3 linked regions of the Notamacropus eugenii genome follow. The protein of the gene in region 1 interacts with the protein of each later gene in a biochemical or structural test. Links are inferred from orthologs where the notes say so. Each region holds a gene or a part of one and is shown on either strand. Other genes may lie near its edges.

Region 1 (11,162 bases):
CATTTATATACTATAGTTGTCATTGCTCAATTGATGGGCAACCACCTTGTTTCTCATTCTTTGCTAAAAAAAAAAAAGTACGCCTATTAATACTTTTGTACATTTGAGTTGCTTTCTTCTTTCTTTGATCTTTTGGAGATGTAATTCAAGTAGGAGTATCTCTAGGCCAAGCACATGTACAGTTTAGTGACTTTTTGATTACCGTACCAAATTATTTTTCTAAATGGTTACATCAAAAAATAACTGAGACAAAAGGGCATTAGTGTGTGCTTGTACTTACCTAACTCCTTTGACAAGGGTCACTTCCATTTCTTTCATCTTCATCAATGTAGTGGATGAGAAATGGAATTTCAGTATTATTTTAATTTTGCATTAGTGATTTGGACCATTTTTTCAAGTAATTGTTAATGGTTTGGTTAATCCTTTGAGAATTGTCTATTCATATCTTTTGAGTATTTATTTATTGTAAAATGGCAGTTGTTTATATATATATAAACTCTCTATATTTCTTAGATATCAAACATTTAGCTCAGAAATGTGCTACAAATATTTCTCTAAATAACTTTTCCCTTTTAATTCTAATTGCATTAGGTTTTTTTTTTTTTTGGTAAAAACATTTCAATTTTATGCAATCAAAATTGCCCATTGTATCTTCTGTCCCTTCTATTCCTTGTTTGATGAAGAAATAGTTCCCTACCCATAGTTGTAAAGGGTATCTCCTTACTTGCTCTTCTAGTTTGTTAAAGACATGAGCTTTTATAATTAAACCTCATTTCCATTTGGAGCTAATTATGATACACAGTGTGATAAGTTGGTCTAAACTTAATTTCTGCCAGACTGTTTTCCAGCTTCTTTAGTTGCTTTTGCTAAATTCTTGTGCTGGTAGTTGGAAAACTTATGTTAACTAAATACTATGCTAATAGATTTATTTACTCCTGGGTCTTCTGAACCTAATCTGTTTTACTGATTAACTTCTCTATTTTCAAACCAGGAGCAAATAGTTTTAATGATTACAGTTTATAGTACATCTGGTACTGACTGCTAGGTTCTTTCTCTTCCCTCTCTTTTTCATTATTTCTCTTCAGAAGTTACCTTTAGTTCCTCATGACATATTTTGTTATTATTTTTCTAACTGTATAAAGTAACTCTTTAGAAGTGGTATTACACTGAAATAAAAAAAATAAGTAAAATGATTTAGTATTTTGGCATAGTCCAAACCTGAGTAGATATTTTGTTATCTGGGTCTGCCTTTATTTCTATAAAAAGTATTTTATAGTCATATTCATTTAATTCCTATATGTTCTAGTGTCTGGAGTCCTAGGTATTTTACATGTTCTTTAATTATTTTGATGGAATGTCTTTTTCTATCTCCTCCTGCTAGGTTTTGTTGGTAATATATAAAAAGCCTAACAATTTTTGTGAGGTTATTTTATATATCCTGTTACTTCACTGGTTACTGTTTCAATTAGTTTTTATTTGGCTCACTAAGTTCTTTAAGCAAACCATCATGTTATTTGCAGAAAGCAATAATTTTGTTTCCTTTCTGCCTATGAACTGAACTTATTTTTGTTTTCTTATTTCTAGAACTATCTCAAATAATAGTGGTGACAGTGGGCGTGCTTACTTTACCCCTAATGTTATTGAAAAAGCTTCTAGAGTTTCTCTATTACAGATAATGCTAGAACTTGTTTTTAGGTAGATACTATTCAACACATTAAGGAACAGTCTGTTTATTCCTGTTTTTGTTTTTATGTTTTTAACATAAATAGGTGTTATAGTGGTTTTTCCAAGAGTTTCTCACTACACTTTGATATACTCATGTGGATGTTATTGTTTCATTACTAACATGGTCTATAATATTTGTAGTTTTCCTAATAATGAACCAAGGGCAGCTAGGTGGTGCAGTGGATAGAGTACCACGCCTGGAGTTAGGGAGACTCATCTTTGTGAGTTCAAATCCAGCCTCAGACACTTACTGACTTTGTGACCCTAGAGAAGTCACTTCATCCTGTTTACCTCAGTTTTCTCAAATGTAAAATGAGCTGGAGAAGGAAATGGCAGAACACTTCAAATATTTTTGCCAAAGAGACCCCAAATGGCATTATAAAGAGTCAGACACAACCAATAAATGACTGAATAACAACAATATTGAACCAATACTACATTCTTGATAGAATGACAATTTGTGCAATATTAGAATGGATTGTTTTTTAAATGTTTGTTAGATTAACTTGCAAATCTATTTCAATTCTTCAGAGACTGTTCTATTTCATATCTTGTCATACAGGAACACCAGTAGAAAGTTGGCATTTAAAAGATAGTCCTTTATGTCCATAGAAAACTTGGGATCATTCAAGGAGTTCCATAATTTTCTGAAAACAATTCATCCCATTCTCCCTGTTCTGTTCAACTCCTACTTCAATTTGTTATCCATTTATATTGTTTATACCAGTTATATAGACTAATAGAGAAGCTCTATAGACTTTCCATGTAAACATATGTCATAATCTGAGAGACATTCATAATGGTCTTTTTGGATGGTCAGGCCAAACTCTTTGAACAGTTACAAATCTTTTCCAACAGTCTTTTCAGTGCACCATTTATTTATGAGGATGACAATACAATGTCATCCCCAAGCAACAATATCTATAGGACCTCACCATCCACAGAGAATCCCCATTTATTTTCTGCACCGGTACAGTGACAAATATATAAGGGGAAGAGAGTCTTTCCTGTTTTATGATGATTATGATTTCTACTTTTACATCTTATCAGAAATCTTCAGTGATTTAATGTAGATAGAGAGGCATCTCATCAGAAAAGAGCCTTTAAGGTGGCATTTTGCCCCATTGATTCAAATACTTTGAATAATCAACAAAGAACATAGTAAGATCTTCTATTCTTTATATTTTTCAAACAATTTTGGAACGATGTTCTTTTTGAAATATCACTTCTGAAACTCTGCTTGTTCCCCACAAAATTGAGGATTCTCTTGAATTCTATATATGTGAATTGAATAAAGATTATGTATAGGTAGAAAAGTAGGTAGATAGATAGATAGAAAGACAGACAGATAGATAGATAGATAGATAGATAGATAGATAGATAGATAGATAGATAGATAGATAGATAGATAGCTGTTGATGTCCTCTTATTTGATTCTTTTAAACATGTCTTTGGTATGTTCTCCTGACTCAGAACCTTACACATTGACTCTAGCTCTCCCACAACTGCATGTTCTTTAGCATAAATCTCCTCTGCATATACTTACTCCATCCACTCAGGTTGCTTTTCCTATCTTTGTATTTATTAATGGCATGTCTAACTCCCCTATGAGCGTATCCTGGAATATGTTAGGGTCCAAGTGTGGACTATTAAGGTTCCCTTACTGGTGAAAAGTTTGCCATAGTATTCTTTAAAGATTATTTGTATTTTTCTTCTATTTGTTGTCCTTTCATTTTAGTCTCCAAATACCTTTTGGATGACCTTGTGGAGCTGGATTTCTTGCAAAAGTTTCATTAAACTAGCTGTACCTTCTACTACTTCTCCCTGCTTTAAGGCTAGATTGCTAATAATTGTCCACCATCCTTTGTAAAATTTTTGAAAAAAATTCTTTTTTTAGGTGCTTAATACATGTTTATTGACTTACTGCCAGTGCCTTTCATTTCAAGATTACCTCCCATCTACAATGTAAAAATCTGTTATGTACATAACTATTTACATGTTTTCTCCCCCCAGTAAAATGCGGCCTTCTTAAAGATAGAGACCATGTTGTGTGTTTTTTCTTCTGCTTTCCATGTATCTCCAGCTCTTAACAATGTCTAGCAAATATTAAGCACCCAATAAATGCCTGCTGACTGACTAACACCAGAAAAAAAAGACACATAAACTGCCTCTAAACCTAGAAAGGACACTAGATTCAGAAATTTAAGAAGACTATGGACCACCAAATCCAACCTCCATTTATTGGCATTGAAAATCCTTCACAAACTTGATCTGACATAACTTTCCAAGCAAATAGTACTCCCATTCACACATTCTACCATCCAGTCAATGTGTCCCATTTTCTTTTCCTCATATATAAAACTTATATCTTCAGTCTTTGTACAAACTATCTGTTCCCTGGTCTGGAATTGACCCTTTCCTTACCTTATTTACCTCTTAGAATCCCCACCTTCCCTCAAAGTTCAGCTCATATTTCAGCTCCCACCCAAGGTTTTTTTTTTCCTTATATAATTTATTTATTTTTCAGTTCTTAACATTCACTTCCACAAGAATTTGAGTTCAAAATTTTCTCCCCATCTCTCCCCATCCCCTACCCCAGGACAGCATGAACCCCATTCACCCCTTCCTCCAGTCTGTCCTCCCTTCTACTACCCACCCTTCTTCCATCCCTCTTCCCCTCTATTTTCCTGTAGGGCAAAATAGATTTCTATACTCCATTGCCTGTATAGCTTAATTTCCAGTTGCATGCTAAAACAATTTTTAACCTTCATTCTTAAAGCTTTGAGTGCTATATTCTCTCCCTCCCCACCTACCCACCATCATTGAGAAAACAAGCAATTCAATATAGGTCATACATGTGTAACAATGCAAAGCACTTTCATAATAGTTATGTTGTAAAAGACATTTCCCTCTGTCCTATCCTGCCCTACATTTATTCCATTCTCTCCCTTGACCTGTCCTCCCACAACAGTATTTGCTTTTGATTATCCCTTTCCCCAATTTGCTGTCCCTTCTATTATATTCCCTCTCCTATCCCCTTCCTCCTTGCCTTCCTGCAGGGTAAAATCGATTTGCATATCCAATTGAGTGTGTTATTCCCTCCTTAAGCCAAATCCCAAGAGAGTAAGGCTCAATTATTTCCTTTCATCGTCCCCCTCTTCCCTTCCATTGTAAAAGCTCTTTCTTCCCCCTTTTATGTGAGATGATTTGCTACATTCTACCTCTCCCTTTGTCTTACTCCTAGTACATTCTATTCAACAGTAAATTTTATTTTTTTAGGTATTCTCCCTTCATATTCAACTCACCCTATGCCCTCTGTGTGTGTGTGTGTATATATACACACACATACACACATATACCCATATACATATACATACCTACACATATATAATATACACATACATACCCATACCCACTTACATATATATATATATATATATATATATATATATATATATATATATATATATATATATATATATATATATGTATGTATGTATGTATATTCCCTCTAACTACCCTAATACTTAAAAAGGTCTCATGATTTACAAATAATATCTTTCCATGTAGGAATGTAAACAGTTCCACTTTAATGAGTTCCTTATGGCTTTTCTTTCCTGTTTAACTTTTCATGCTTCTCTTGATTCTTGTATTTGAAAGTCAAATTTTTTATTCAGCTCTGGTCTTTTTAACAGGAATGCTTGGAAGTCCTCTATTTCATTGAATTTCCATTTTTCCCCCTGAAGTATTTATTATACTCCATTTTGCTGGGTAGGTGATTCTTGGTTTTAATCCTATCTCCTTTGACCTCTGGAATATCATATCCCAAGTCCTTTGATCCTTAGTGTAGAAGCTGCTAAATCCTGTGTTATCCTGATTGTATTTCCACATTACTTGAATTGTTTCTTTCTGGCTGCTTGTAATATTTTCTCCTTGACCTGGGAACTCTGGATTTGGCTACAATATTCCTAAGAATTTTCCTTTTCAGGTCTCTTTCAGGAGGTTATCTGTGGATTCTTTCCATTTCTATTTCACCCTGTGGTTCTAGAATATCAGGACAGTTTTCCTTGGTAATTTCTTGAAAGATGATGTGTAGGCTCTTTTTTTGATCATGGTTTTCAGGTAAATCAATAATTTTAAAATTATCTCTCCTGGATCTGTTTTCCAGGTCAATTGTTTTTCCAATGAGATATTTCAGATTGTCTTCTATTTTTTCATTCTTTTATTTTTGTTTTATAATTTCTTGATTTCTCATAAAGTCATTAGCTTCCATTTGCTCCATTCTAATTTTGAAGGAATTATTTTCTTCAGTAATCATTTGGACATTCTTTTCCATTTGATCAATTCTGCTTTTTAATTAATTTAATTTATTTTTTTATTATTTTTTATTTATTATTTTATTAATTTAATTAATAAATCAGTTCTGCAATTCTTCTCCTCATTGGCTTTTTGGGTCTCTTTTGCCATTTGGGTTAGTCTATTTTTAAAGGTGTTAATTTCTTCAGCATTTTTTGGGTTGCCTTTAGCAAGCTGTTGACTTGCTTTTCATGACTTTTTTGCATCGCTCTCATTTCTCTTCCCAATTTTTCCTCCACCTCTCTTACTTGATTTTCAAAATCCTTTTTTAGTTCTTCCACGGCCTGAGACCACTGCATATTTTTTTGGAGGTTTTGGAAGCCTTGACTTTTAGGTCTTCCTCGGATGGTATGCTTTGTTCTTCCTCATCTGAAAGGAAGGAAGAAAATACCTTTACAGCAAGAAAGTAACCTTCTATAGTATTATTTTTCCCTTTGGGGCATTTTCCCAGCCAGTTACTTGACTTTTGAGTCCTTTGTCAAATGGAGGTTATACTCTAGGGACCTGTAAGTTCTCAGGGCCTCCAAGATGGTACAATCAAGGAAGAGGAGTTTACTCCTCTCCTAACCTGTTCTCTGGTCTGTGAGCAACTACAAGCACTCTTTTCTGCCCAGGATCTGTGAGTAGGATTCCCTCTCCAGAGCCTCCACCAGCTCCACCATGTCAGTGCTCCTCCTCACCCCAGGACTGCCACTCAGAACTGAGACTCAGATCAGCAGCTCAGTGTCCCCAGGGTCTTTAGGCTGAGGGCTCCAAAAGTGGACACTGCTGCACAGTGGCTGCTGCCATCTAGGGGCTAGTGCTGGGGCCAGACCATGCTCCCCTCTCACACAGGGGAAAGAGCTTTCTCATTGACTTTTGAAGCTATCTTTGACGTTTGTGAGTTGAGAAATCTGGGAACTGCAGCTGCTACACATGATTCTGCACCCTGGAGCCTGCTCTAGTTTTGTCCTTGCCTTGTGACCCAGACTGGGCTGTGCTCTACTCCGAGCTGGTGCAATAGATCTTTCCTGTTAGCATTCCAGGCTGTCTTGGGCTGGAAATCTCTTTCACTCTGTTGTTTTGTGGTTTCTGCTTCTCTAGAATTTGCTTAGGGTCATTTTTTACAGGTATTTTATGGGCTATGCGGGGAGAGCTTCTACAGGTCTGTCCTTCTACTCTGTCATCTTGGATCTGCCCCCTTTTGAAAAAATTTGTAGTCTAATTTGCCTTTGGCAAATGAAGAAGTTGCCTTTGGCCCCCATCTCTCTCAACTTGGCAAGTAAGTAAAATGTTTACTAAATGAAGCATTAAACATTGTTTACTAAATTAAGCTCCTTTGGGTCTTTTTATTGTGAAAATAGCCACAGTCATTAGTCTTCTGTATAAAAGAAATTTTCATTGGTATCAATGTCATTTTGGATCCCCATTTCCCAATTTTCATTGCTGATTATTTGTTTAAATAATCTAGGATTGAGTTGTTTAAATAGGAACTCATACTTTTTCATTATTGTTCTCTTTACTTTTTAATAATTTTGACCTTTGCTTAACATATCTGATTGTACACAAATAACTGATCCAAGATAATTTTACACCACTAATGCATTTTTCTGTCCATTAGCATAAAATCTATTTCATTTTTTGCAATGTTATTTGTTGCTCACCATGTGTAGAACCTTACTATGTCTTTTCTTGAAGAAAATGTTTGTGAGATAAAGGCATGAGGGTTCTGTGAAATTTACAAGTCTTTGACTTCTCTCATCCCTTTTTCTTAAAATCTGCTTTCTCATTTACATTTTATCTTCACTTTTTTCACTTTTATTGAAGTTATTAAGCATCAAAATATATGCTGCTTTACTTTGGAGGACCTTATCAATGTTTTTATAGAATTTCTCTACCTACCTCTTCATCCTCAACAATCAATATTGGTCCAAAAGCTACAATTATTTTCATGGTGGTCTTTTTACAAACACTTATCAGTACTGTAATACCAGATGACCAAATATCCCATGAAACAGCATTTCTTAGATGGGATGGGGGTGCAGCTGGATGGTTGAGCCTGAAGTTAGAAAGAAGAAATAATCATCTTCCTGGGTTCAAACCTAACCTTAGATACTTAACTAGGTGCCACTTAATCCTATTTGCCTCAGTTTCCACATCTATGAATGAGCTGGAGAAGGAAATGTCAAATCATTCCAGTATCTTTTACAAGAAAACCCCAAGTGGGGTCACAAAGAGTCAGATATGACTGAACAATAACAATGTTGCTACCATTGGCTATACTATAAGAGCAACTCCTTTCTTTGCCTCTTCAAGGTGTACTGGGATTTATCTTCCATTTAGATGTAACTTCCTCTTGTTTCTTGTTTCCTTTATACCAAGAATTTTAAGACTGATATGATTCAACTCCTTTAGCAGTCATATGCTAAGTGGGGAAGGCGGAACTGAGATCTGGAGGGAAGACATGATTTTATATTGACATTGTGTGAGTCAGTAGAGGTAAAGCTGAATAGCAGTGAATGCCCAGTTGAGGTTACGTAATATAAATGTATAGTAGTTTAAATCAGCTTGGTTTTCTCCATTAACACTGAGTATTCTCTATTATTGTTGCTGTTAATAATAATAATTGTGGGTTCCCCTAATCAACCTTTATTACAACAGATGTTTTGAAATAGTTCTGTGAAGACTCACTGCTAGGTATGTCCTACTATTGCTTCCATTTTAATAACAGGAAAATGAGAGTAAACATTGGGACAGATGGCAGATATGATAGGGTGCATTTAGTTGTCATCCCCTGGTGTCTTTTATAACATATATTGTTCTTGGTAACATACTACAGTTCACTTCCCTTTTCCCTTTAAGTCATCTGTAATATTGATTCTGAAATTGTGGTGTTCCATGGTTCACAAACACAAGGCACCACCCCAAGAATATTGGTATTAAAGAGATCATCTTTCGAAGCAGTGAGCACTTAGGATATACTCACAGGACTATGCAATTTCCTAAATGTCATCTGGCCTAAGCACTGCCTGGCATATACATACATACACATATTTATAAGATACACACATATACATGTATTTATATGGGTATATGTCTGGTTAATACACATATACCTTCTTTTTAGTATGTGTGTTGATACCTGCAATCAAAAGACATGGGTTTGAATTCTGGTTTAGTTACTTCCTAACTATGTGACTTTGAAAAAAGCCATTTGAAAATTTTTTTTCTCAACTGAAAAATAAGAAGGTTAGCATAGGTGATCTTTGAGTTCCTTCTAGCTCTAAATCTGTGCACATGTGTGAGAGAGATAGCAGGGTCTTGTGGATAGGGAGCTGGTCTTTCCAACCAGGAGGACTTGGGTTTAAATCTTACCTGTGACACATACTGGTTTTATGACTCTGGGCAAATTACTTAATCTCCCAGTAGTCTAGTCAACTCTGTACTACATTAAAGGTGCCTACTGGAATTGGTAGAGGGGGTTTCCTCATCAGGGAATTTCCCACAGCAATGCAATCATGGGTTTAGTCTTCATCCCTATCCATGGTTGGCAACAATGGAGCAGAAAATGAGTGGGCAACTTTCAGAGTTTTGGTGAACAGCATCACATTTGCTCCTTTGGGTCAAAACACTTGCAAACATCAGGATTGGTTTGATGAAAATCATGGGGAAATTCAGAAACTACTATATAAAAAATGAGAATTCCACAATGTTTAACAACAGGACAGTTCTCCCAGTTCTAGGAAGGCAGTTTTAAAATTTCATCAAGAGCAAAGTGCAAAAGAAGCTTAGAGAGATGCAGGATTCTTGGATCAGTGAGAAGACAGAAGTGATTCAGTTTTATTTTAATAGTAACAATTTAAAGCACTTCTACAATGCCCTTAAGGCTATTTATGGATCAAAGATCTTTGATGCATCTCAGCTACTCAGTGTTGATGGAGCCACACTAATCAGTGATAAGGACATGATCCTGGAGAGATGGGTTGATGTAGCAGAAAGCACCTTGACATACATGGGGGGCTTGCTATTACAGGTTCTGAGATCTGCTTTTCTAAAAGGAAAGGCAACTTGTGAGGGGTCAACAATGACTTTAATTAAGCACAAGTATCATTCAATTAGTTCAGGGGAAAAAAGTCAGAACCCTAAACTTCAGAGAAAATACAGAGAAATGAAAATCAACAGATGTGACTTCCAACTATCTGACATAAGCAATATATACATCATAGATCAACAGACAGATCCAATTGTCTGACTATTACATGCATACATGGTTACCAGAGAGAAGCACCAATATCTGGATTTTCAAAGCTAGGGGGCTGCTTAGTGGCTTCCCAAAGTCTCGTCTGGCACCAAAACCTTCTTCCAAGACTAAACTCCAAAGTAAAACCTCACCTCAGAGTCTTTATACACTTTTTAGAGCCAGAGGGCATCACACCCTTTGATAACCAGTGTCTCATTAGAAAATAAACAAAAGATGTGGGTCTTCCCACAAATCTTTCCAAATCAAACTCCCCTTAATGGGCAGGCCCATTAATGGGTGGGAAAGAGCTTCCCATTAAGAAACAAAATTATGTTAACAATAAGCAAAAATGCATTATCAATATAGTTGACCACTTCCATACTATTCTCAACAGAATGTCACCAATGCTGAAGCCATTGGTGATATAACACAGGTTGAAGTCAACACCTCTTTAGCTAAACTTCCAACTGAAAAAGCAGTTGAATGCCATTAGGCTCCTCTTGTGTGGGCAAAGTGACAGGTGCTGATTCCATTCCAGCAGAAATCTACAAGGCAAAGGGTTAGTGTTCATGCAAAAACTGACTAAAAATCTTCTGGATCATATGGCAAAAAGATGTTATTCCCCAAGAGATCAAAGATGCCTCCATTGTCCATCTCTATCAAGAAAAAGGAATTTCTGATTCATAGAAATGCAAGGACCTAAAAAACTCCCAGTGAACTCAAGGCAAAATGCCTTCCACATCCAGAGTAAGAACTGGATTGCAGAATAAAGTAGACCATTTTCTCTTGTATTATGTTTTGTTTTGTTTTCATAGTTTCTCCCATTCATTTTAATTCTTCTATGCAACATGACTAAGGTGAA
Region 2 (11,250 bases), on another chromosome or scaffold:
GGTGATAAAAATTTATTATGCTTTTCAGTAGGGAACCTGCAACATTAGAGGATACAGTTAAGTTTATATAGGATATTTTATAGTAAAGCATGTGCTGAGTGTGATGACTAGGTGATTTAGGGTAGGATTAGGGAGTGGTTAAGGAGTGGTTAATTCTTAAAGGAAATTGCACTTTTAGTATCTACTGGACAGCTATTTCACCCAAAGTTCATCAAGAAATCGTCTGGGGGGGAGGGTGCTACATGTAAGTGTGGTTTCAGACCTGAAATGTCACTAAGTCAACTAATGGTCAGGACTGGCTAAGTAATACCAGGCTGCTGTTATCAATGTCTTGTTAGATAAGATGAATGTAAGGGAGTATACGTATGTCTAAGTCTAGGATACATATAATTGGTCAGTGAGTGGTAAACGTTGTTATGACCCAGTGCACAGCCAGTTCAGCCAGTACACAGCTGGTTCACACTAATAAATTCTATATGTGCAGCTGGCTACTGTATCAGGAAGGGAGATAACTGTTGTTGCTGGGGCAGGTTTTGTCCTTGGGCTGCGGAGAAACTGCCTGGGATAGTGTTTTGAGACTAGGGAGAAGTGTGATTTTTAAAGAGAAATGTGATTTTAGAATTGGGGCCCAAACACATGCACCCAAGCACCCCATCAAGCACCTTGAGAATAGTGACTGTTTTTTGCCTTTCTTTGTATCTCCAATGCTTAGCATAGTGCCTGTGCATAAATAGGCATAATAAGTACTTATATACTGACTGAACACAGGTTGATGTCAGGAACTTCAAAGAAAGGAGGGACTTAAAAGGAAGGAACTATAAAAGCAGAGTCTTAAGGTCAAGGAGTAAATCTGGGCCTTGATCCTTGCAAATGTGAACTGGCAATTTGATGGGAAAAGGGTTGACTCTCAAGATGAAAATACCTCCCCCTTTTTACATATTATCCCATTATTCCCTGCCTTCATTTGTCACAATGCAAGTTCAGATTACAGAACTAATAATTCTGCTCTCATCTTTTCCCCCTCCAGTGCAGTAATTAGACCAACATTGAGCAAAACTAACCAATACATCAGCCAAATGACAGCATCTACAATATGCCATGCCCATTGTCACCCACTTCTGCAAAGGGAGGAAAGTGCATTTTATTTTCATTTCTTCTTCAAGGGAGATCTTGTCCACTTTAATGACAGAGGTATTGTTTTATTTTGCTCTGCTTGTTCTTGTTTACATTTTTGTAATCAATAAAATTCCCTCTTGAGAAGCCTCAAACCCTTAGGGTAGTACTATAGGTACCACCTAGTAATACTTAGATAGGCCTCATATGCCTTTCTCTTCTGAGGGAGTTTGAACCTTGTATGCAGTTCATATTTACAACCTAACCAAATTGGCCAGTCATCCTCAACGAGGTGTTTGTGGGTCAACAAATACCTAGGCCAGGAATAATACTTGCCCCCAATGGGAGTGCCATCAAACCTATCAAGGAAATATAACCAAAGTCTCAAGGAATGGCCTCATTTTTTAACTTTGTCCAGGCTTACTCCTTGGTCATATGTATATAATAGATATTCATGAAGTTCCTGTTGTTTGTAAGGTACTGTGCTAATTTATAGGTTAGTATATAGACCTTGATTGTGTGGATTTGCTTCTGGGTCTCTGCACAAGAAGTGGAAATTGGCAGTATGGAAGACAGAGAGCTGCAGTAGCGGCAAGTGCCAGGTGAAGAGGAGGGAAGAGATTGCATGGTCCTAGGAAGTATAGGTATAGGTAGCTTAGCTCTTCCCTGGCACTGTTCCTGGAGGTCTGTTTTGGAAGACAGAGTGGCAGCAGGTGGTATGGGTGAAAAGTGACTACATGGTCTCAGGAAGTGTTGAATCCTTTACTGAGCCTTGCTTTGGACATGCCTTCCATGTGCAAGGCGCTGTGCCAAGATTAATTTGAGGAGGGAAAAGTTAATGAGAGAGTACTGTCAGAGGATAAACACCTTCTTTGTCCGTTTTACAGAATGTGGAGCCCAACTTAACATTAAACTCTCATCAAAACAGGAGGGCCACAGAATGACTTTTCTCTGTACAAACTAGAGATCTTTTTCTCTATTTTTGTGGGACCTTATCAGGGGATATCATTCTGCTAAATTCTGAAATCTTTCATGACCTCTTAAATTCTTTCCCCAAAACAAACTAACAAAAACCTAGGGCTTAAGGTGTAGTGTAAAATACAGTCAAATTTGGATGACAAGAGTGTTTTTTTGAAATCTTGCTTTGGAAGGCCAATGTAATCTCAGGGGATTCATTGAGAGGCATTAGTCTTCAAGACTGGGGATATGGTAGTTCCATTGTACTCTGTCTTGGTCAGACAGCATTTGAAATTGGGCACCATATTTTAGGAAAGATAAATTAATATGAGGCCATAAGTATGGAGAAGAGCCTCCAGTGTATGAAAGGTCTGGGAAACTATTAGTCAGAAGAAGATAACATTTAGAAATGACCTGATAGTTATTCATTTCAAGGATATCTAGAAGGCTGTTATATAGAAGAGAGATTATATTTGTTCCACTTGATGCCACAGGGAAGAACTAGAGGCAATAGGTGAATTGCAAAGAGTCAAATTTAGACTTGAAATGAGGAAAAATTTCCTAATAATTAGATATTTCACCAAAAGGTGAAAGGGTTATATCATTGGCTCACATTGAGGCACACAAACAAAGTCTGGATGACCACATCTTAAGTATGTTGTTGAGGGGGTTTTGGTTCAAAAACTGGTTGGACCTGGTGAACGGTGAATTAGGAAATGAAGCAATTTATAGTCTTAGAGAAGTCCCTGGGCAGTAATTTAGAGGCTGAGTTACTTGCCCGAGACTAGTATGTGTCAAGAAGCAGGATCTGAATCTAGGATTTTCTAGTTTCAAGGGTGGCCTTGCTTTGTAGGCATCAAGACGCTTGCCAAATTAAATAATGTTAAAATTTAATGAGTTCTCTTTCTCAGGGATGGTTGTAGTTTCTATTTTTAGTCACTATTACTTTGCCCTTAGGTTACAAATATATTTATATATTTGATTCTAATAAGAAAATTTTAATTCTCAGACTATTCTCAAAGTAAAGAAAAAACTAAAAAAGATTTTTAAAAATTTCTAAAAGGTCACCTGTAGGAAAAGAATCCTACAATTAACTTACATGTATATGTGACTTAAAATGTAGATCCCATCCTATAGGATATAAAGTGTAAATATATAAACACAGCATCTAGCCCACAGTGTATTCTCAAATATTAAAGCAATTGTATTCATATTTATAATTTTGAAATGATAAGATTTTTCTCCTTAGTGTTCCTGTGGCAAATCAGTCAACAAGCATTTCTGAAGCACTGTGTTAAGATCTGGGGATACAAAGAAAGGCAAATACTGGTACCTGCCTTCAAGGAGCTGACCATCTAATGGGGAAATAACATTAAAACAACTACATAAAAGATAAAATAAATAGATTATATATACATATACACACAGAGAATGATTGGAAAATAATCTCAGAGGGAAGTGTGTATGTAGGCAAAAGGCCCACCTAGAAAGACCTCTTCAGTGGGTGAAATTTGAGCTGAGATTTGAAGGAAAGTAGGAGAAGATAAGAAGGGAGAATATTACAAAGATAGGGAAGTCAGCTACTGAAAAGGCACAATCCAGAGATGGAGAGTCCTGTTTGATGAACAGTGGTCAGTATTGCTGGATCATATAGTATATGAAAGGGAAAGTGTAAGAACATTACAAAGGGAGAAAGAGATCATATTATGAAGGCCTCTTAAAGGAAAACATGAAATTTTATATTTTGAGGTAATGGAGAGTCACTGGAGTTTATTTGCTTATTTTGAGTGGGTGTTGTGTTTGAAATGGTCAGACTTGCACTTCATTAGGAAAATCACTTTGACATTTCAGTGGAGGATGGATTAGAGCCAATTTAATTCAATAAACATTTATTAAGCACCTACTATGTTCCAGGCACTGTGCTAAATTCTGGGGATGCAAAAAGCAGCAAAAGACAGTGACTACTCTAAAGGAGCTTACAATATAATGTAGGAGACATGCAAACAAATATATACAAAGCAAGCTATGAACAGATAAATAGGAAGAAATCGATGGAGGGAAAGCATTGGAATTAAAGAGGGGGTTTAGGGAAGGCTTCCTGTGAGAGGCAGGATTTTTGTTCATTGTTTGCCCTTGGTTCTTGAAGAAGACACACCTAAGGAAGGTGATGTCATGACTTGCAAGTGAATTGGATTTAAGTGAGAGAGGGCTGTGCAAAGTCACCAAAAAAATTGCCTTTTTGAGCTAAAGTCTTTCCCAGGTCTCAGTTTTACTGAGGCAATGTCCATTCAATGATTAAAGCTGGGTAAGAAATGAAGAAAAGAACAGCTTTTTCAACCTAGTCAAAAAATTACATATATATTTTTTATGTGCGTGTGCACGCGCGCACACACACACACACACAATCAGTTTAGAAATTAGGAAGCACATCTGGGAGGGAACTGAAGGTTAGTTGATCTAGGCCCTTCCCCAAAATGGAGGAAGCAGGAGGAGCTACATATTAGAAAGATACTGGTATGGTAGAGGGATATTCTAGGGTGAGGAAGCCTCAGTTGCTGAGAAAGGATTCAAGGTGAGATTTTAGTCAGGCCATGGTTTTTAAGTCTATTAAGTTAGAATCACAGCCAGGAGGAGAATAAAAGTTGATTTAAAAAAAAAAAACAACAGATAAATACTGCAATTTTTTTTAAAAATATCTTTGGGAAACAGACCTAATAATGGTATTGCTGAGTCAAAGGTATGCTGTTTCATAGTCCTTTGTTCCTAGTTCCAAATTACTCTCCAGAATGGTTGGATCAGTTCACAACTCCACCAACAGAGCTATTTAGTGTCCCAATTTTCCCACATCCCCATCTAATGTGTCATTTTCCTTTTCTGTCATATTAGTTTAGATTTGTTTTAATTTACATTTTTCTAATCAATAGTGATTTAGAGCATTTTTTTTATATGAATACCAATAGCTTTGTTTTCTTCCTCTGAAAACTGCCTGTTCATATCCTTTGGCCATTTATCATTTGGGGAATGCTTTGTATTCTTATAAACTTGACTTAGTTCTCTATGTATTTGAGAAATGAGTTCTTTATCAGAGAAAATTGCTCTAAAAATTTTTTTACTGTTATGATTACTATGTATTTCCTTCTATTCGTTTCCCCCATTTACCCTCTCTCTCTCTCCTTTCACTTTACCCACCCTCAAGTGTTTTACTTCTGACCACTGCCTCCCTCAATCCAATCTCCCTTCTATCAGCACCCCCTCTTCTTGTCTTATCTCCTTCCCTTCTACTACTCTGTAGGATAAGATAGATTTTTTATACCCCACTGGGTATGTATACTATTCCCCAGGTGAGAGTTTTGTTTTGTTTATTTTTCTGGGTGAGGGACACGTGGGCATGTTTCTAGGCAAAGAGCCAGTAAAGATGAAATTGAAAATAAGTGAGAGAGTGAGGATGAGAAAGGGGGCAGTCTGTTGAAGGAGATAGGATGGAATGGGATCACTTGAACAAGTGGAGAGGTTAGTCTTGGTAAGGAGTAACACCAAAGAGACTAGAGGCAGGGAGATAACCAGAAAACAATAGTCCAAGCATGAAGTGATAAATATGTAGCAGGGTGGGGTGGGAAATTGTGGAAATTGCTTTGCATATTACATTATTAATCGGATCACTTGTTATATATTATGCTGTATCACAGCATATATATGACAACATTATTTATCATATTGTAAAATACGTAATGTGTTTACTTAGAATCCTAAGAGCATTGATTCGCAGCTAGAAGAGTCCTCAGAGGTCACCTAGCTCAAGGTCACCTCACTTTACAATTCTGTATACAAGTTGCAACATAATTTCCTTCACTTCAGGGACTGGGTTGTTTTTGTTTTATCTTCAATCTCTTCAGCACAATGTCTGGCTCGCTAATTAAATACTTGTCGAATTGTTACCAAACCTAGATTTGTGGTTTTTTAGATCTCAGTTGCACCTACATCTGGTTTCACCAAACGCTGGGGAAAAAAGAAACAGAGCTACAGTAGCATGGGAATCCCACCTCTTCCAAAACAACCCAGAACTAATTGGCCAACTGCGAAGCAAGAAGGGTTAAACCTCCCTCTCCTGTACGCTGATTGGCTTGTAGCTCCAGGGGCGTGTTCTGGGCCGTATTGGGCGAAATGCGCAGGCGCCTGCTGGGGCCAGGGTAGGGGAATGTGGGGATTTCTGAGTACGCATGCGTCAGAGAGACCCAGCCCTGGTTCTTATCTTTGGCCAAGTCCGGGTTGTGGAGGATTGGTAGGGGAAGGACTGCGAAGTCTCAGGGTGAGTTGTGAGGGCCCCGGGGCCGGGCCGGGACCGGGGCAGCTGCCGGGCGAGGTTCTGGGCGAGGAGGAGCTGCGCGTGACTTCCAAAAAAATGGTGGAGAGGCGGCTGAGCGAAGAAAAATGAAGGGGGAGAGGCGCCGGCGCGGAGGGGGAGGGGGAAGAAAGACACGGGGGGAGGGGGAGGATACGGGGGGAGGGGAAGACACGGGGGGGAGGGGGAGGGCAGGGAAGTAGCGGGGGCGGGGAGCGTCTGTCCGTCCTCGTCTGTGCCTGGCCTGGGAGGAGGGTGTGACGGTGGGAACCCCTCTAGTGGGTAAGGGAAGCAGGAAAGGGGGTGTGTGTGTGGTGGGCATGGGGATGGGATATGTGTGTGCCCACCTTGTAGTGCAAGGATGCGCTCCTGGGCAGCGAGCGTGTGTAAGTGTGTGTGTATGGGTATGTGTGTGTATACACACACAGTGTGAAGATACACTCATGGGCAGTAGTAGTGTGCCCCCTTCTTAAGTGTGTGTGTATGGGTATGTGTGTGTATACACACACAGTGTGAAGATACACTCATGGGCAGTAGTAGTGTGCCCCCTTCTTAAGTGTGTGTGTATGGGTATGTGTGTGTATACACACACAGTGTGAAGATACACTCACAGGCAGTGAGTGTATGTGTGTATATGTAGTTAAGTGTGTGTATATGTAGGTATGTGTATGTGTGTACACACAGTGTGAAGATACACTCATGGGCAGTAGTAGTGTGCCCCCTTCTTAAGTGTGTGTATATGTAGGTATGTGTGTGTATACACAAACAGTGTGAAGATACACTCATAGGCAATAGTATATATCGATATTAAGAACCACACTTGTTCAGATTAAGAGAGAGTCCAGAGAAACCCGAGAATGCTCCTTAGAAGACTGATAGCTTTGATGCCATCTTACAAAGAGAGAAGAGTGGGAGATAGCTTCCTAAATTCAGGGATGGGGGGTGGGATGAGGATGTTTAAAGCTTCCCTTCCCTCTTCTTGCTCCTTGGTCCTTCCCTTCAAGGCCATTAGTTACTGTAACTTTTAAATAGACAAGTTGGAAAGGGAAGGGTGGTTCTTAGAGAAAGTTGGAAGAAAACACAAGTTGGTCCATAGAGAAGTAGTCGTTTTCCCTCTGCCCCTCATCTCATCAAGATGTAATTAATGACTGGGGGAGGGGAAGGATGTAGTTACTGAGCAGTGGGGAGCCATGTGATGAATGCACTTTGAGCTTTTTAGAAATAAGGTATTGCAAGTATTAACAGAGACATCATTCTGTGTATCTAAAACTGATCTTTAGCCTCTATGGTGAGGCCCATCCAGTATGACGTGGTTACTGTCACACTAGGAGTAAAAATAGGATGTACCATTCTGGTCCATACTAGAAAATGCCTAATGAATTTTAAATCTGGGTATCATTATCCATAGTTTCCTGGGAAGTCTTAGTATTGCAATTATATTTTATGACCTAATATATTAATTTAAAATTTTCTCTAGTCCTGTCACTACCTAAGCCAAAAATTTGCCTAAGGTGTACAGTGTTTATGAAATATTCTTCATCATTAAGTACTGTCAAAGCATATGGGATTACATATGCTTTATAATCCTTATTTTATATAAAAAAGCAGCAAATATTAGGACAAATGTAGTTGCCCCTTTTCCAAGCACCAGAACATAATTAAAGTAATCATAAATTACAGCCCTGTAGCGTATGCATCTATCAGCTCTAGTAGTTCTCTTTAAGCAGTTTGCGACATGTGGTCACTTGCTGGTTCCTATGATTGTCATTCTTGTCAGTGTACTTTTGGATTCAAAGTGACTTTTGTTATTTTACTTCCTGATAATATTGTACCACTTCTTCTTCCCTGACCCTGGTATGCAGCTTTACATAAACATTTGTGGGACTTTCCGCTTTTTGTAGATAACTACTGTTACAGCATATTAATGTTCTTGTTTCTTTCATTTCAGTTACCTTAAGAACAATAACACCCCTCCTATTTAACCAAGAAGAAAAAAAAGGCCTGGGCAGCCAAAATGATGTGACAGATCCCATGTGCTCAAATTGACTCCCTTAAGGACCAAACATCAACAGAAGTAGCTATTCTGTTCAGCACAGTTTTAATGGATTGCTATTTGGTTTCCCAGGTCATAGTAAATTAGAGGGGGAAAGGTGGAGTTCATACCTAAGGGATAGTATTGGAAGGAAAAGTATACTGGAACATGCAAGATAAGGCATGTAATAGTATATGGGGCCATTTAGTATAGGGTTAAATAGCCCTATATACTTCAGTGGTACTGAGGACATCAGTATTTATTATTGTAGAATATAATAATTTATAATTTAATCCTGAATCATAAAGATTAAATTATTTTTCATGTCCTTTGCTTAAGAAGGCTGTAACTTGTATAAAATAGTTTCCAAAAAGTTTTCATCATAAAGTTGATTTAAAAAAATATTGACACTTCAACAGCATTTATCAAGCATCTGCTTTGTGCAAAACACAGAAATACAGAGATGAAAATGACACTGTTCCTGCCCTCAAGAAGTTTACATTCTGAGGGGAATAGGATATGACATAAATGCAGATAAATATAGTTCAAGGTAGAGAATTATTGAGGGCAAAGAAAGATGCAGGCAAAATACTCTAGCATTACTGGAGGAGGAATAGAAAACTACTTTTAAGCCAGAAGAACAAGGAAGGCTATACCTGAATTGTACCTGTAAGCAAGAAAATTCTAAAAAGTGGAGGTGAGGAAGGCTTGTATACTAGGAATAGAAAATGACCTGGCTAAATGCACGGAGAGAGGAGATGTCAAGTTGAGGAATTCTGTACTGTTAAATCCACTTACTTTTCTTAGTTTTATTCTTCACCTATCTGTAGCATTTGAGGATTTTGATTACCTCTTTTTCCCTGAATACTCTGATGCCTGGGACGTTATGACCAGGAATCTTCCTGACACTGCTGTTTCTTGTCTCTTTTCTAGAAGTCTGACTGCTCTTTCCCAGTCATCCCTGATGAATCATCATCTGTGGTCTGCCCACTCTATGTGCGTGTCTTCTAGAACTTGCTGCTGGACCTCCTTTTTTCCTTACTCTACACTCTTTCCCTTTGTGATCTCATTAACTCCTACATATTCCCTTTCAATCACATGACTTCAGGTCTCTTCTCCAGCTAACTGCTGGACATCTCCACCTCCGTGTCCCGAGGCTTCTCAAACTCAGTGTGCCCAGAAGGTTGGTGAAGTTCATGATTTCCCCTCCTGTGCTCTGCATTAGAGCTGGAGTAGCCTCCTTGTTCCTCATGCCTGACTTTCTGTCTCCTTGGCACAAGCTGTGTCCTGTGCTTGTCTTGTTTGTCTTCTTTACCTCTGTCTCTTGGAACCCCTAGGCCCTCACTTACGTCTCAGCTCAGGTGCCATGTCCTGAATGAGGTCCTTCCTGATATCTACTTTCCATCCCTCCCTCCCTTAAAATAAAAATTTATTTTGCATTTACTTTGTATGTATTTCATGTTTGTTTAACTGTGTAGGTATTGTTTCCGTCTAGTAGAATGTCAGTTCCTTGACTGCAGAGACTATTTCAGTTTTGTCCATCTCTGGCATATAGAAGGTGCTTAATAAATACTTGTTCGATTGATTGACAGAAAATACTTCCTCAAAGTACTTTGTTTGGACAAAGTTATGTAATTTAGCAACTCTCTGATTTCCAAACCATGCCAATAATTTAGGATTTGGCTTTATTTTACTTTTTCAGTAGATGATTTTTTGCTTTAGAATGCCATCTTTCAAAGATCTTCTTGGAGATAGTATTTTGTTAAATGCATCAAAGACTGAGGTACGCACTGGATAGAACTTAAATTTTCTTCTTAGACAATCATAAATATAGTAAAATCCTTTACTTAAAGGATAGGACATATATGCAAATATGTAACAAGCTTTAGTAAGAAAAAAAGGGAGTACTTGCTTACTAATTGCTCTAAAAACCTAGTGTTCTGTTTAGCAAAATCATCTATATCTGTTTTCTATGTTTTGGGTAAATGATTAAATAAATATTTTCTGCAGAAACAAGATTTAAAAAAATGTTTTTGGTTGTTAAACTTATGAAACATTTTTTTTTCTGTAGAAAATATTTTCCAGTTATGTGATCTTGGTCAAGTCTTTTTTGAAACTTAGTCTTCTGATCTGTAAAATACTGCAAATATTATTTTCATCTACTTTCCAGGTTTATTGTGAGGAAAATGTGTTGCAAAAGATAAAATACTAGCTGTAAGTGATTGTATATTTTTCTTATATTACTGGCAGATAAGAGATCTGAAGTCAGTCCAAGTTTTTCTAAGTGCAGAATTTATTTATATGTAAGGTTATTGAATCATATTCTGCTTCAGCTGTAAATTTTGAGAAGAGTTGAGTAGAAGGGGCTGGCCTCATGTATTTTGAGTTTGGAATAGTTAAATCAGCTAATTTTGAAAACTAGAAGTAGATTCTTGTTTGAGGAAGCATGCCTGTAGTAGTCACAAGCCACAATTCCTTATTTATTCTTTGTGCAGTGGTTTTTGTTTTTTATTTTGGGGGGGGGCGGGGGATGAGGAGAAAAGGTACTCTATGTCTGAGGGAAAAAGTTTATCATCTTTTCCATTCACTTTCAGCCTTTTACTTTCTCACTTTGTAGATTCAAGTTGCACTGTCACTACTGAAAGATTAGTACAGAAATTCCTAGTCTTTCAGGAGCTGAACTAGATAATTTTAACTTGGATTGATTTTTTTTTGACAAACTTTTATCCTGCTGAAAATTCTGTGTAGTTTTTGTTTTAAAAAATTTTTGTTGTGTTGGCTTAGAAAAGTATTTGGAGGAAAGTATTTG
Region 3 (11,311 bases), on another chromosome or scaffold:
GTATTCTGGGTTGTGCTGATTATGTAAGAATTCATGGGAAAGCTGGTGATTTCCCATTAGAGTTCTGCCTTTTTGAAAAGTATGAAATTTGACTATTCACTCTTCTTGATAATGGAAAATTGAACTTACAATCAATATTTGGGATGATCCTCTGTGTGTGTGTGTATGTGTGTGTTGTCTGCTCTGGTGTGACCTTAAATATTGTCTTAGGTGGAAAGTGATTAGTCTGTTTCCTCTCCTTAGATATATCCTTTAATAATACATGTGCTTCAAATTGTAATCAATTTAAATTTAAATCAATTTGTTGTCTTCTATTGCTAGAAAGGAGCAACTTCAATCTGTTCTTAAGTCAGTAATTTTTAGATATCATTATGAATTATGTCTCTTATTGAATCCCTCCCCTGTTCAAAAATCTTCTTTGGCTTCTTATTGCCTACAGGATAAAGTCCAAACTATTTAACGTACCATTCAAAACTTCCCACAATTTCACTACCAACTATGTCAAATGATTCTTCCAACTCCAAAATCCTTACACTCAACCTTTCTAGTCTTATCTTCTCCTGTTTCTCTCCATTGAGAGGCAGTGTGGCATAGTAGAAAGAGCACAAGTCATAGAAGTCAGGAAAAGACATAGGTTTGTATGCCTCAAAAGACAACTAGTTGTGGGAGTATGGGTAAGTCATGTAGCCTCTCAAACCTCATCTATAAATTGAATGATACTAATAACTTTTGTATTTAACTCACATGGTTCTTATGAAGACTAAAGCAGTTAATATATGCAAAATGCTTTGCGAACCCTTAAGTATCATATAAATTATGTTAACTGTTATAAGCCCTCTGATCCAGCTAAACTGGTCTACTTATTATCCCCCAATATGCCATAGACTTTCTTGCCTCTGCATGTCATCTCAATTTGCCCTTCTCCTTTTGTGCCACCTGCCCTGATATAGCATTTTCCCAATTTATTTATTTATTCAAATCACCATCACTATTCAAGTCACAATTAAATTCCTTCTTCATTTGGAAAGTCGTATGTTCTCTGAACTTGTGGAATTGTCAGTTACATTTATTTGTCATTTAATCATATAGTGTCTTTGTAATTTTTTTGGATTAGTGTTTTATCTTTAACTCTTCCCTTCATCATTTAATTTTAGATGATATATTCCTGGAGGGCAGGAATCATATTTTATATCACTTTATATTTCCCACAGTGCCTAGCAGAGTGCTCTGTAAATAGTTGTTTTTCTACAAATATTGATTAAGTAAAATCAGATCTAGTGGGTAGAAGGGTAATAAAACAAGCTTACCCATGATTAAAGCTGAAAAACATTTCCTTACCTCTATGGAATTGAAAATAGTTTTCCATAACTTGAAAAGTAAGATGTTTCTTCAACCTGTATAATCTAAACAATAAATTTAACTCTTTCTTCTTTCTTTATTATTCTGCTGCTTCTAATCATCACACTTATTTGAAGTTACCTCTCATTTTTTTTTAATATTACAAAACCCTGTGTTTGAGGTGGAGAAACTAAACCAGTAGGGACCTCCAACTCTAGACTGAAAGTAATCAACATTCAAGGCCATTCCAATGGGACCACAAATTTCCATAAATCTACTGTTCTTATTATAAAAAAATATCGATTTTTTTGTTTAAATAAAATAAAAATAATAACTTACATTCCTTAGAGCAATTTGGATTTGGGGGTTCAATTAAATTTGTATTTTTTGAGTCAAACTTTAAGACATTAATGTAGACAATCTTAATGAGCCTATAAGCAGGTCCCATAAGAAGAACTATATAATCTTTCCTATCCTTGTCCTTGAACATATCTGCATGTGTTTCTCCTGACCTGACTGTCCAGGCTTCAAAATTTGTTATTTTTAGAAATGCTTTTCCTAAAGTCTCTGACCAAGTAAATGTTAAATTCATCATCAAGTCATTAAAAAATTACCCAGGAGGATATTATGCAATTCTCTCTAAAATCAAACACTTGACTCCTTTTCCCTAGCCTTTTACACTGCTCCCCCCCACTAGCTTCACTGCAGATTCCCCTCCCCCTCACTCCTCCACTAGCAGGGAACAAAAACAGCAGTAATTGCTAATGCCCAAGCACGTAAATCTGGCAGCTCTGGTGGTTTTCTTTTGACGCAACTACGCAGAGGGCTGTCTGGACGTGCGGCAGGGTAGCATTCCTATGAAGTCGAGGCATATTTTAAAAGACTCCTGCCCATCTTTTCTCCTAACCTTCCCGCACCACAAACATGGTTGTTTATTTGCCTAAAGGCTGCAAGGTTACTTTTTAAATAGTTACATGTTTTTGGACAAAATAATAACCAAATAGTTTTATACCCATGCACATATGGCACGCACACACACACACATGCGCACACATACACACACACACACACACACACACACACACACACAACTAAAAGGAAAAGACCCCGGGAAAAAGGCTAAGTGTTTGCTCCCATTTTAGCAAACATGATATAGAAGCTATCACACTGTTATGGTTGTCTGGTAAACATGTTTTAAAATCTTATTTTAATAATTCAGAGGGTACTAAGGTGGCATTTCTGTTCATGCATCATATATATATGCTTTTGGGTACATTTCTGTGTTTTCACTGTTATTTGTCAAAATCACTAAATTTAGCTTTCGATCACTTTATATCAGAAATCTGTGATAACTTTTCTGAATGATTCTAAATGGTTAAATAATTTCATCCAGTGAGTTGTTTGGTCATCATTACGATCTCAGCAGAATTCTGCAATGCCATAACAAACTGCAGCAGATTTTTAGGACAGCATCCAGGTTCAGTAGAACCACTATGATTTTCCTACTGAAGTCGTAATGAAGACCCATTGGGATCCTGTGTCCTGTCATAAATCAACTGTCTATTCTGTCAAAACTAGAAGCGCATTGTTTGATAAGCTAAAGTAGGAGTTAACACATTCTTTTGGAAATGCTTATGGTTGCTTTGTGATCTGAATACAAAGTTAAAGGAATGAATTCCATACACTGTCAGTAACCTGAAACATTTTAGGAATATATTTTAAAGTATATGTGTGTGTGTGTGTATGTGTGTGTGTGTGTGTGAGAGAGAGAGAGAGAGAGAGAGAGAGAGAGAGAGAGAGAGAGAGAGAGAGTGAGAGAGTGAGTGAGTGAGAGAGAGAGAGAGAGAGAGAGAGGGAGGTAGTGGTTCATCTCTAAGAAGAAGAGGGAATCCAAGGGGGGATTCAATATTAAAGTTAATTGTACTTTGTTTACCTATGATATAGTTTAATTAATATCTCTTCCCTTTTTCTTTTCTCTCTCTCCCTCCATATACACACATACATGTGTGTTTATATATGTGTACATATGTATGTGTACATATATACACATTATATACACACATATACAAGTGGATACATGTATGTTTAGGCTCATAATCTCTTAAAACAGGAGACAAATGACAGCAGATCCCTAGGAACACATATTTTCGAGAGTCGCTCAACAACAACCTCCACACACCAATACACGATAGATCTGCCCACCTTCTAGCTAAGTCCCTGTTTAAAAGAGCTTGTTACTTGGGAAAAATTATTTTCACAAGTAAATCCTTAATAAAACAAAAAAGGATAGATATTCTGGTGAATGGGGAGAACTGTCAAATAACAAGTAGCTACTGTTGGAAGGATTTTATCCACTATGATTCTTTTTAAGGATATTTTAAAGGTTATTTGAGAGACCTGCAGTTTTTTCTAGGGCCCGTATTCCAGTCAAGGACTTAAGTGTGCCCCTATCTCAAACGAGACACACTCATTCTGCACCAGGTAGAAGCAGCCGCAACTCAGCAGTTTGGGTTACTGTCCCTGGTGCTGAAAGGTCGACTGCATCAGACGCAGTCTCTCAGCGTCACTCTCCATGGTCCTGGGCCATGGGTGCTCCGCAGAACCAGTAGAAAAACCATTCCGGCCGTCCCAGGAGCAAAAAATCTACTCAGAACGACCCCAAATCCACACCAGGCTGCAGTTTATACGTAAAGCAGACAGCATAAATCAAACTCCTCGGGCATGGAGATTGCTGTTGCTGCAGTAACTGCTTCTTCTTCGTCTGGGTGGGAACTCTTCTCACCCTCCTCTTTCCCTTCTTTCCCCAGTCCTCACCTTACACCCTACCCTCCTCCTTAATAATCAATGGGAGAAGAAAGCATCGTCTTCATATAATCAAGTAATCACAACATTCTTATAATGATGATTGTTTCTGTAAAGAAAATTAGCAACATCTGAACAGCAAAATGACAGAAAAGGAATAAAGAGTGCCCGTCCCAATAACAATTTTAAAAGGATAAGTCTCTTCTGGATATTCTTTCTCACCTGGGTATATCTGCAGTTCCCTCTTTCTCACCCCCTCCCCGACTTCTCCATCATTCTGTTCAGCAAGAAGCTACTTTAGAAGTCAATACGTGTATATAGAGAGTATATAGAAATACTTATATAATGCCTCAACCTGTATACATAAACACTTGTATTCGCACAAACCCATTTTGTATACACAGCAACACATTCATCCGTATCCCTTCTGTTTGTGTAGGCAGAGAGATCCATGGATGAGGAAAAGGGTAGCTTACCTTGACTTCTGTAGAGAGGGCTTCAAGGGACAGTGTTCTCGGAGCCTAGGCAGGTTTCGAGTTTATAGGCGATTTCTGAAGAGGCTGCTGCTGCCGCTGCAGGGAGGGAAGGACGGAACGGTTTGCTCCTGACCTCCCCGAGGTTTCTTCTTGAATGCAATGGGAGCTCTGCCCTCATCAAAGATGGCCGTCCTTTTTGACGTCAGCAGCTTTTAATAGACATCTCATCAAGGGGAGGAGAGAAGGAGGAAGTGAGCTGAGGGAGGGAGAAAAGGAGGGGGAGGAGCTGGGAGATGGTGATAGCTTGACTCAGCTGCTACTGCACCTTGCTGCAATCCTTTGTAATTTTCATCTCTGAGAAATAAGTGAATAACTGAACGAAGATGGTTCTCGTAATTCAATTATACCAGCCTGATGGCGTGGAATAACGGGCCTGTCCGGGCAGTTTTTGTCTCGTTATCTTCCTCCCCCCCAACCCCCCAGTTGAAGCTGTGGTTGAGTCACAGAGGGGGGAGGGTGCGAGGAGGGAGGATAATGCAGCAGAGATTTGTTTTCGCCAAAGGGGAGGGTCTGAAGGGGCATCCCTCTGAAGTCTCTCTTGCTCCATATATGGCCAGTCTACGTGGGCTGCTATTTTTATATGTGACTTCTTTCTCTTTATTAGAGCAGCCCCTTAGATATGGGAATTGCATTAATATGATTTAGTTCGTTCAGAAAATACAATTATTTTTACAATACGTCAGAGGAACCATAATAAGGAAGCAAATGAGTTTATTTTGGAAGTTGGAGACGTGGGTATGGTTGCTTTTAGAATTTATGCTAGTCTTATTGATTACCAGTGATGGAACCTTGTTGCATAGTTGAAACTGAAGTTTGGTATGGGAGCTAGAAAGAAATACCCCGTCTGTGATTTAAATGTTCTTTTTCCCCCTTTTTTGCCACTCCTTCATAACCACACACACACCCCTTTACTCCCTCCCCTCATATATCGTGTCCCCCACTCCCAAAGAAGAAGCGAGAATGTTTTGGCTTGTTGCTTTCGTAAGCCAGCTTCTGATTTACTCTATATTTCTGTATGTATGTGGCTTATAGAACAATCCAGACTTCCGGGGGAAGGCGGTGGGGTAAGGAGGTGCTTAGGGGGATTGGACGTGACAAAATCCTAGTGGTTCATTCATTTCTCAAACAAGATACTTTGGTTGTCTTTTGTGACTGGTAAAGGGCACTTGTTTTAGACTAAGAAAGTGTTAATCCATCTACTTTCTTACTTGTGAGAAAACAAACACAGAATGACTGTCTAGTTGTGCCAAAGCAGCCCACAGCTGGCTGTAGGTTATGTAAATCGGCTTGGGGTGGGAGCATCTTATGACTGTTTCGCAGGTGTTTTGGAAGGTTAGCCCGGGTTTTCCGAGGAGGATGGTGAGTAGGTGGGAGGTGGGGGAAGTGGGGAGGGGCAAGGCGGGGCGGTGGAGCGACGTCTCAAATCCAGCACTGCAGAGTACTCCTAGGGGAAGGACGTGATCTGAAATTCTACCTTGAAGTCTTGAAACTTCACGACTCCCTCCCCAGAGGAGAAAAAGAAAAGATTCCCCTGTAGCTCAGGAGAATCCCTTCAGAGCTTATGGTCCTAGGAGAATTCTCCACCCATCTTGCTCTCTAAGGGTAAAATCAAAACAATATTTTTCTTCCTGATTACAGTCTCCAAAGAGAGGGGGAGAGAGAGGCCCTGGAAAAAAAGAAAATAAAGAAAATGAATTGAGAAGGAGGTCTGCTCCAGAAGAATTTAATCTAAGCTGTTTCTAATGGAGATACCTGGAATTTGTACCCCTTAAACTTTGTTAGTAGTATCACAGGACCAAATGGTAGGTTTGGAAAATCTGATATTACAATACTCAGTAATCATCAATGTTGTGTTTAATATATTGGACGGGTTGTTGACTTTAGAATACATGATTTTTGCATATTCGTGCCCAAATAAAACATTTTAAATCCTTGAAAGGTTATAATAAAAATCTATAATAGCTATAAGTGCTCAATTACCAACAGAACACTGTTGTTTTTTGTTATTCATTGCAAAACAGTTCAGAATATTTAAGGGATGACACACAAACACTGCAAGATGCTTTATGCAGAGACTTAGGCTTCCTTTTGCCAAAGTGTCACTAAGAAAAAAAAAGGCAGCATACAAGCTTTGAAGGAAGCTCTGCAGTGACGAAAAAAATTATTTTCTGAGTGAGACGGTCTGAATGGAAGACATTCAGTCAGAAAGGCTTGTGAAGGAATAGAGGAGGTGGGGGATTTTCCAGGGTGAAAAAACAGAATAGGTAATGCGTCATAGATAGAGGCTCATTCTGCAAGCAAAAATTGTGCAAGATTTGCCTTGAAAGAGCAGACGTTAAAGCTTAATATTTAGATGCTGATGCACTCCAGTGACATCTTTGGGGGAAAAAAAACAAGCCAGAATAGAATGTAAAATTGATCACAGCATCTTTTATTAACTATTTTATCAAGTGACCAACATGATGCCAACATGAGGCATCCTGACCCAGGAAAGATAGCACAGTCTAAACAGTCTAAACTGAGAAACATAAATTGTCAGCCAGTTAGACCACATATCTAGTCTTTAGACAAAGACTGCTTCTCTTAAGTTTTAATGTGCAATTGATAGCTTATGGTATAGTATCTACTTGTGAAAATTATGGTCAATTAACAAGCAGATGGCCTTCCATCCTAGCCAACGCTAAATAAAAACAATGCTTTGGCAATAAATAACCATAGTCAAGTAAAACATAGTCTTACATTGGCCATGTCCAAAAATATGTCTCACTCTGTAAGTCAAGTCTTTCACATCTCTGTCAAGGCTGAGCAGGGTCACCAGTCCTCTGAAATCACAATCATGACATCAATCAGGGTTCTTAAGTCTTTCAAATTGTTCAGTTTTACAGTGTTGTTGCTCTAGTGTAAGTTATTGTGATGATTCTGCACAGTTAACACCGCATCTATTTACAGTGATGTTTGTGAAACCCATTCCCCTGATTTCTTCCTTGTTGGTATGGATTTTTACCTGTGACCCAGATTATGTCAGATAAACCCTACTCCAGGCCTCCTATTTTCTTCTGTAGTGTTTCCGTTAGCCCTCCCTTTCCTTATACCTTTTATGGGAATCAAAACTACAAAAATTACTTGGAGACCCTACGTCTTATTTGATTCCCTCTATGACATTGCAGTTCTTAGGAGATACAGATATTATTCCAACATTTCTTCCCTATAAAGTACCCACCCCGATTTGCTCCCTTGTGTTTACTTTATGTTTTTCTTTAATCCTGTATTTGTATTTTAGAAGTTTCTATTCAGCTTCAGTCTTTTCTTTAGGAATGCTTGAAAGGCCTCTTTTATTAAATGTCTATTTTTCCCCTTTAGGATTCCACTCAGTTTTTCTGCATAATTTATTTTTAATTTCAAGCTTAGATCTTTTGCCTTTTTGAACATCATATTGCATGCTCTTTGTGCCCTTTGAGTTGTTGTGGTTCAGTTGTATCTGACTCTTCATGACCCCATGGACTTGTCCATGAGGTTTTCTTGGCAAAGATACTGCAATAGTTTGCCTTTTCTTTCTCTAGTGTGTCCCATGTTATAGATAAAGAATTGAGGCCAATACAGGTTAAGTGACTTGCCCAGGGTCACACAGCTCGTAAGTGTCAGATGTCACATTTGAACTCAGGTATTCATGACTTCAGGCCAGGTACTCTATCCACTATGCTACCTAGAGACCCCTTTTGAGCAAATGCTAAGTATTATGTGATCTTGACTATCACATGTGGTTTCTTGGTCCTTAAACTCTTTCTGGAAGCTTTCAATATTATTTCTTTGATCAGAGAGCTCTGGATTTTGGCAGTGACATTCCTAGGAATTTTAATTTGGGGGTTACTTTCAGGAAGTTGCCACACATTCTTTGTATTTTCACTTTTGCCTCTCATTCTAAGAGATTTATGAAGTCTCCTCCATTATAGACTGTGTGCTCCTTGAAAGTGAAGAATGTTTTTTAATGTTCTTTTATCCCAAGTGCTTAGCACCATGCCTTGCACACAGTAATTACCTAATAAGTGCCTGTTGTTTAGCTGACTATATCTTTTTGTTTGTTTGTTTAGTTGTTCATCAGGTGATCTGCTCTGGGCTACACAGCCATATTCCATTTCCCAAGTCCAGTCTGCTGGCCTGGGCTGCTGTCCTCCAGGCCTACTTCATATCTCTTGACTCTGAATTTAGACTCTTGATCCCTCTGGGGGACCACTTACTGTTAGGTATGTCTCAGAACTGAATCCATGATCATCTCTGGTCATCCCCACACTACTTACTTAGTTCAGAGTTCTGGGCATTGAGTCCATGCTCTTGCCCATAGCTGCTGACTTGCACTAGTGACTAAGTCTAAGATTGCTCTAGGCTGACCTAGGTTGAAGCTCTAGGTGTCCCATTGCATTACTGGAGAAGGGGGATGGCTAAGTGTGTGATCAACTCTTGGTATACCTGGCCTGCATTAGCCTGGAGAACAAAAACCCTAAATTTGTGATACCAGACCTCCTCGGTTCCATAGTTCCCATCCTTGTTACTTGCCTGTAGGTTGAATTTGTAGTCTTGGGTTGGAAAGATGATTGTACTTTCTCCTTCAGTTTCCAATTTGCTTCTTCACCCAGCATCCTTCTTAGATTGTTGTTGGAAAACTGAGCTGTATTCTTTTCCTTTTTCTCTGCCTACCATGTTGGCTGGTCTCTTTTGTATCTTCTTATAGTCTGAGTTTAAAACATAACCATAATCTTTGCCAACTGGAAAAAATGACATTTATTATACTCAAGGTGAATATATAATGAAATGATGTAGGTCTAATCTGACAAAAAAGCGAGTGAGGATGAAAGAAAATGTGCATCAAAACCATTTAGCTACATAATAATTTTTACAAAGATCCAACAAGTTGAGTAACATCTACGTTGTTGTTCAGTGGTGTCCAACTCTCTGGGACCCCATTTGAGGTTTTCTCAGCAAAGATACTGGAGTGGTTTTACATTGCCTTCTCCAGCTCATTTTATAGATGAGGAAAATTAGGCAAAGAGCGTTAAGCGGCTTGCCCAGGATCACACAGCTAATATCTAAGATTGGATTTAAACTTAGGTTTTCCTGACTCCAGGCTCAGCACTTTATCAACTGAGCCACCTAAGTGCCCAACATGAATAGTGAGAAAATTTCTTGCTTTGCTGGGTGGTTATTTACATTATGTAAATTCAGTGTCTACGGTTTTTCTGGTTATCAATAGCATCAGATCAGAAGTATCTATGAATTTAGCTTGTATTCTGTTCCCTGAAGGGATACAATCCATGTATGTGCAAGCTATTATAATATAATAGGTAACACTGTTTTGTGAAAATTGTCTGTTAGGCATTTCAAAAATTAAATTGAAGCGATTTTGATCTTATACTAGAATATCATATCTTACTTTACCCCTTAATAGTCATTCCCTTAGGGGCAACAGTGGGATTCTGTGTCAACACTTGTAGGTATAAAAGGATACCTAAGTAGGGTAAGGGCGTAGAGGAGGAGATAGGTCTTTGCATTTGTTTAAATATAGTCTTTGGCTGTTTCTGCTTGCGGAGAATGTTTCCACTAGGTAGGCTGACTAATAGTTCAACAAATTAGTTAGTTGATTGTGAATTGAAAGTTTTTTGAAGTGATTCTTTGACAATAGATAGCCAACCATCAAAGTCATCTAATTAGAGAAAATTTGTGTTGTCACAAACCTGCTTTCTTTCCATTTCTTCTATGACAGACAGAAAATTATTGAGGAAAAGGTACTGTGGATGTGAGAACATAGTATATCAGAGGGGCATAATACACCAGAGGGAGATGAAGTAACCAAGCAGAGAACTAGGCTAAGGAATCACCCTATGGTTTTGAGCAAATCACACAAATTGCCTGATTGTATTTAAATATTCAGTGTCTGAGTTATTCAAGTCTGACTGTGGCAGTCATATCAATCAGCCATAATTCATCTTTATGGCAGCATGGACAATTCACCTAGGGCTATAACAACCTTACTTCCAAAGAGATTCTGGCTGGTTTATTTAATTAACAGGTATAGCTGAAATAGTTCTAAAAGATTTAGATGCGAGGAACTGAAACAAAACCTGTTTCTCATTTTCTGCATCTGTATAATAGTTGCAAGAACTTTAATTTCTTCTCTGGCATTATCATTGTAAACGTGAAGCTAAGAGATATGATCCTCTTGTCTCTTGATGAGAAGAAGTAAATTATGCGTGGGGGATATTAGAAAACAATTGAATACATTACATATTCCTACATTCTGAATGGTTTCCTAGTGGTAAAAAATTTGATACAATGAGCATTTTTTTTAACAAACAGCAAATATGATTTATGAAGATGTCAAGCACATGTGTGTTTATGTATGTGATTTGTGTTTATTTGTGTGTATGTACATGTGGGCTCTTGAACAGTTGTCTGGAACAGATTACCAGGAGCAGCATGGTCGAGTGCAAAACTGAATTGTATTAGGAGTCGAGAGACCTAGGTTCTAGTCCCAGCTCCAATACTGACTAATTGCATGAACTTGGACGAGTCATTTGATCGCTGGTTTCCTTTTAAGCTTTGGTCTCGGTTTCATCATTTATTGAATGAGGGGCCTGGACTGG

The links.
Region 2: the proteins of STX4 (region 1) and SNAP23 form a complex in vitro, tested with the Homo sapiens proteins (4 studies listed by BioGRID). The link is inferred for Notamacropus eugenii from reciprocal best matches to the Homo sapiens genes STX4 and SNAP23.
Region 3: the proteins of STX4 (region 1) and SNAP25 form a complex in vitro, tested with the Homo sapiens proteins (3 studies listed by BioGRID). The link is inferred for Notamacropus eugenii from reciprocal best matches to the Homo sapiens genes STX4 and SNAP25.

Annotation. Positions count from the first base shown.
Region 1 is NC_092874.1:377,694,241-377,705,402, reverse strand, and holds the start of STX4 (syntaxin-4), read left to right. Parts: upstream 1-7,106; 5' UTR 7,107-7,342; intron 7,343-11,162. UniProt on the Homo sapiens protein: Plasma membrane t-SNARE that mediates docking of transport vesicles. Necessary for the translocation of SLC2A4 from intracellular vesicles to the plasma membrane.
Region 2 is NC_092878.1:28,889,770-28,901,019, forward strand, and holds the start of SNAP23 (synaptosomal-associated protein 23), read left to right. Parts: upstream 1-6,184; 5' UTR 6,185-6,376; intron 6,377-11,250. UniProt on the Homo sapiens protein: Essential component of the high affinity receptor for the general membrane fusion machinery and an important regulator of transport vesicle docking and fusion.
Region 3 is NC_092872.1:583,449,543-583,460,853, reverse strand, and holds the start of SNAP25 (synaptosomal-associated protein 25), read right to left. Parts: upstream 5,067-11,311; 5' UTR 4,617-5,066; intron 1-4,616.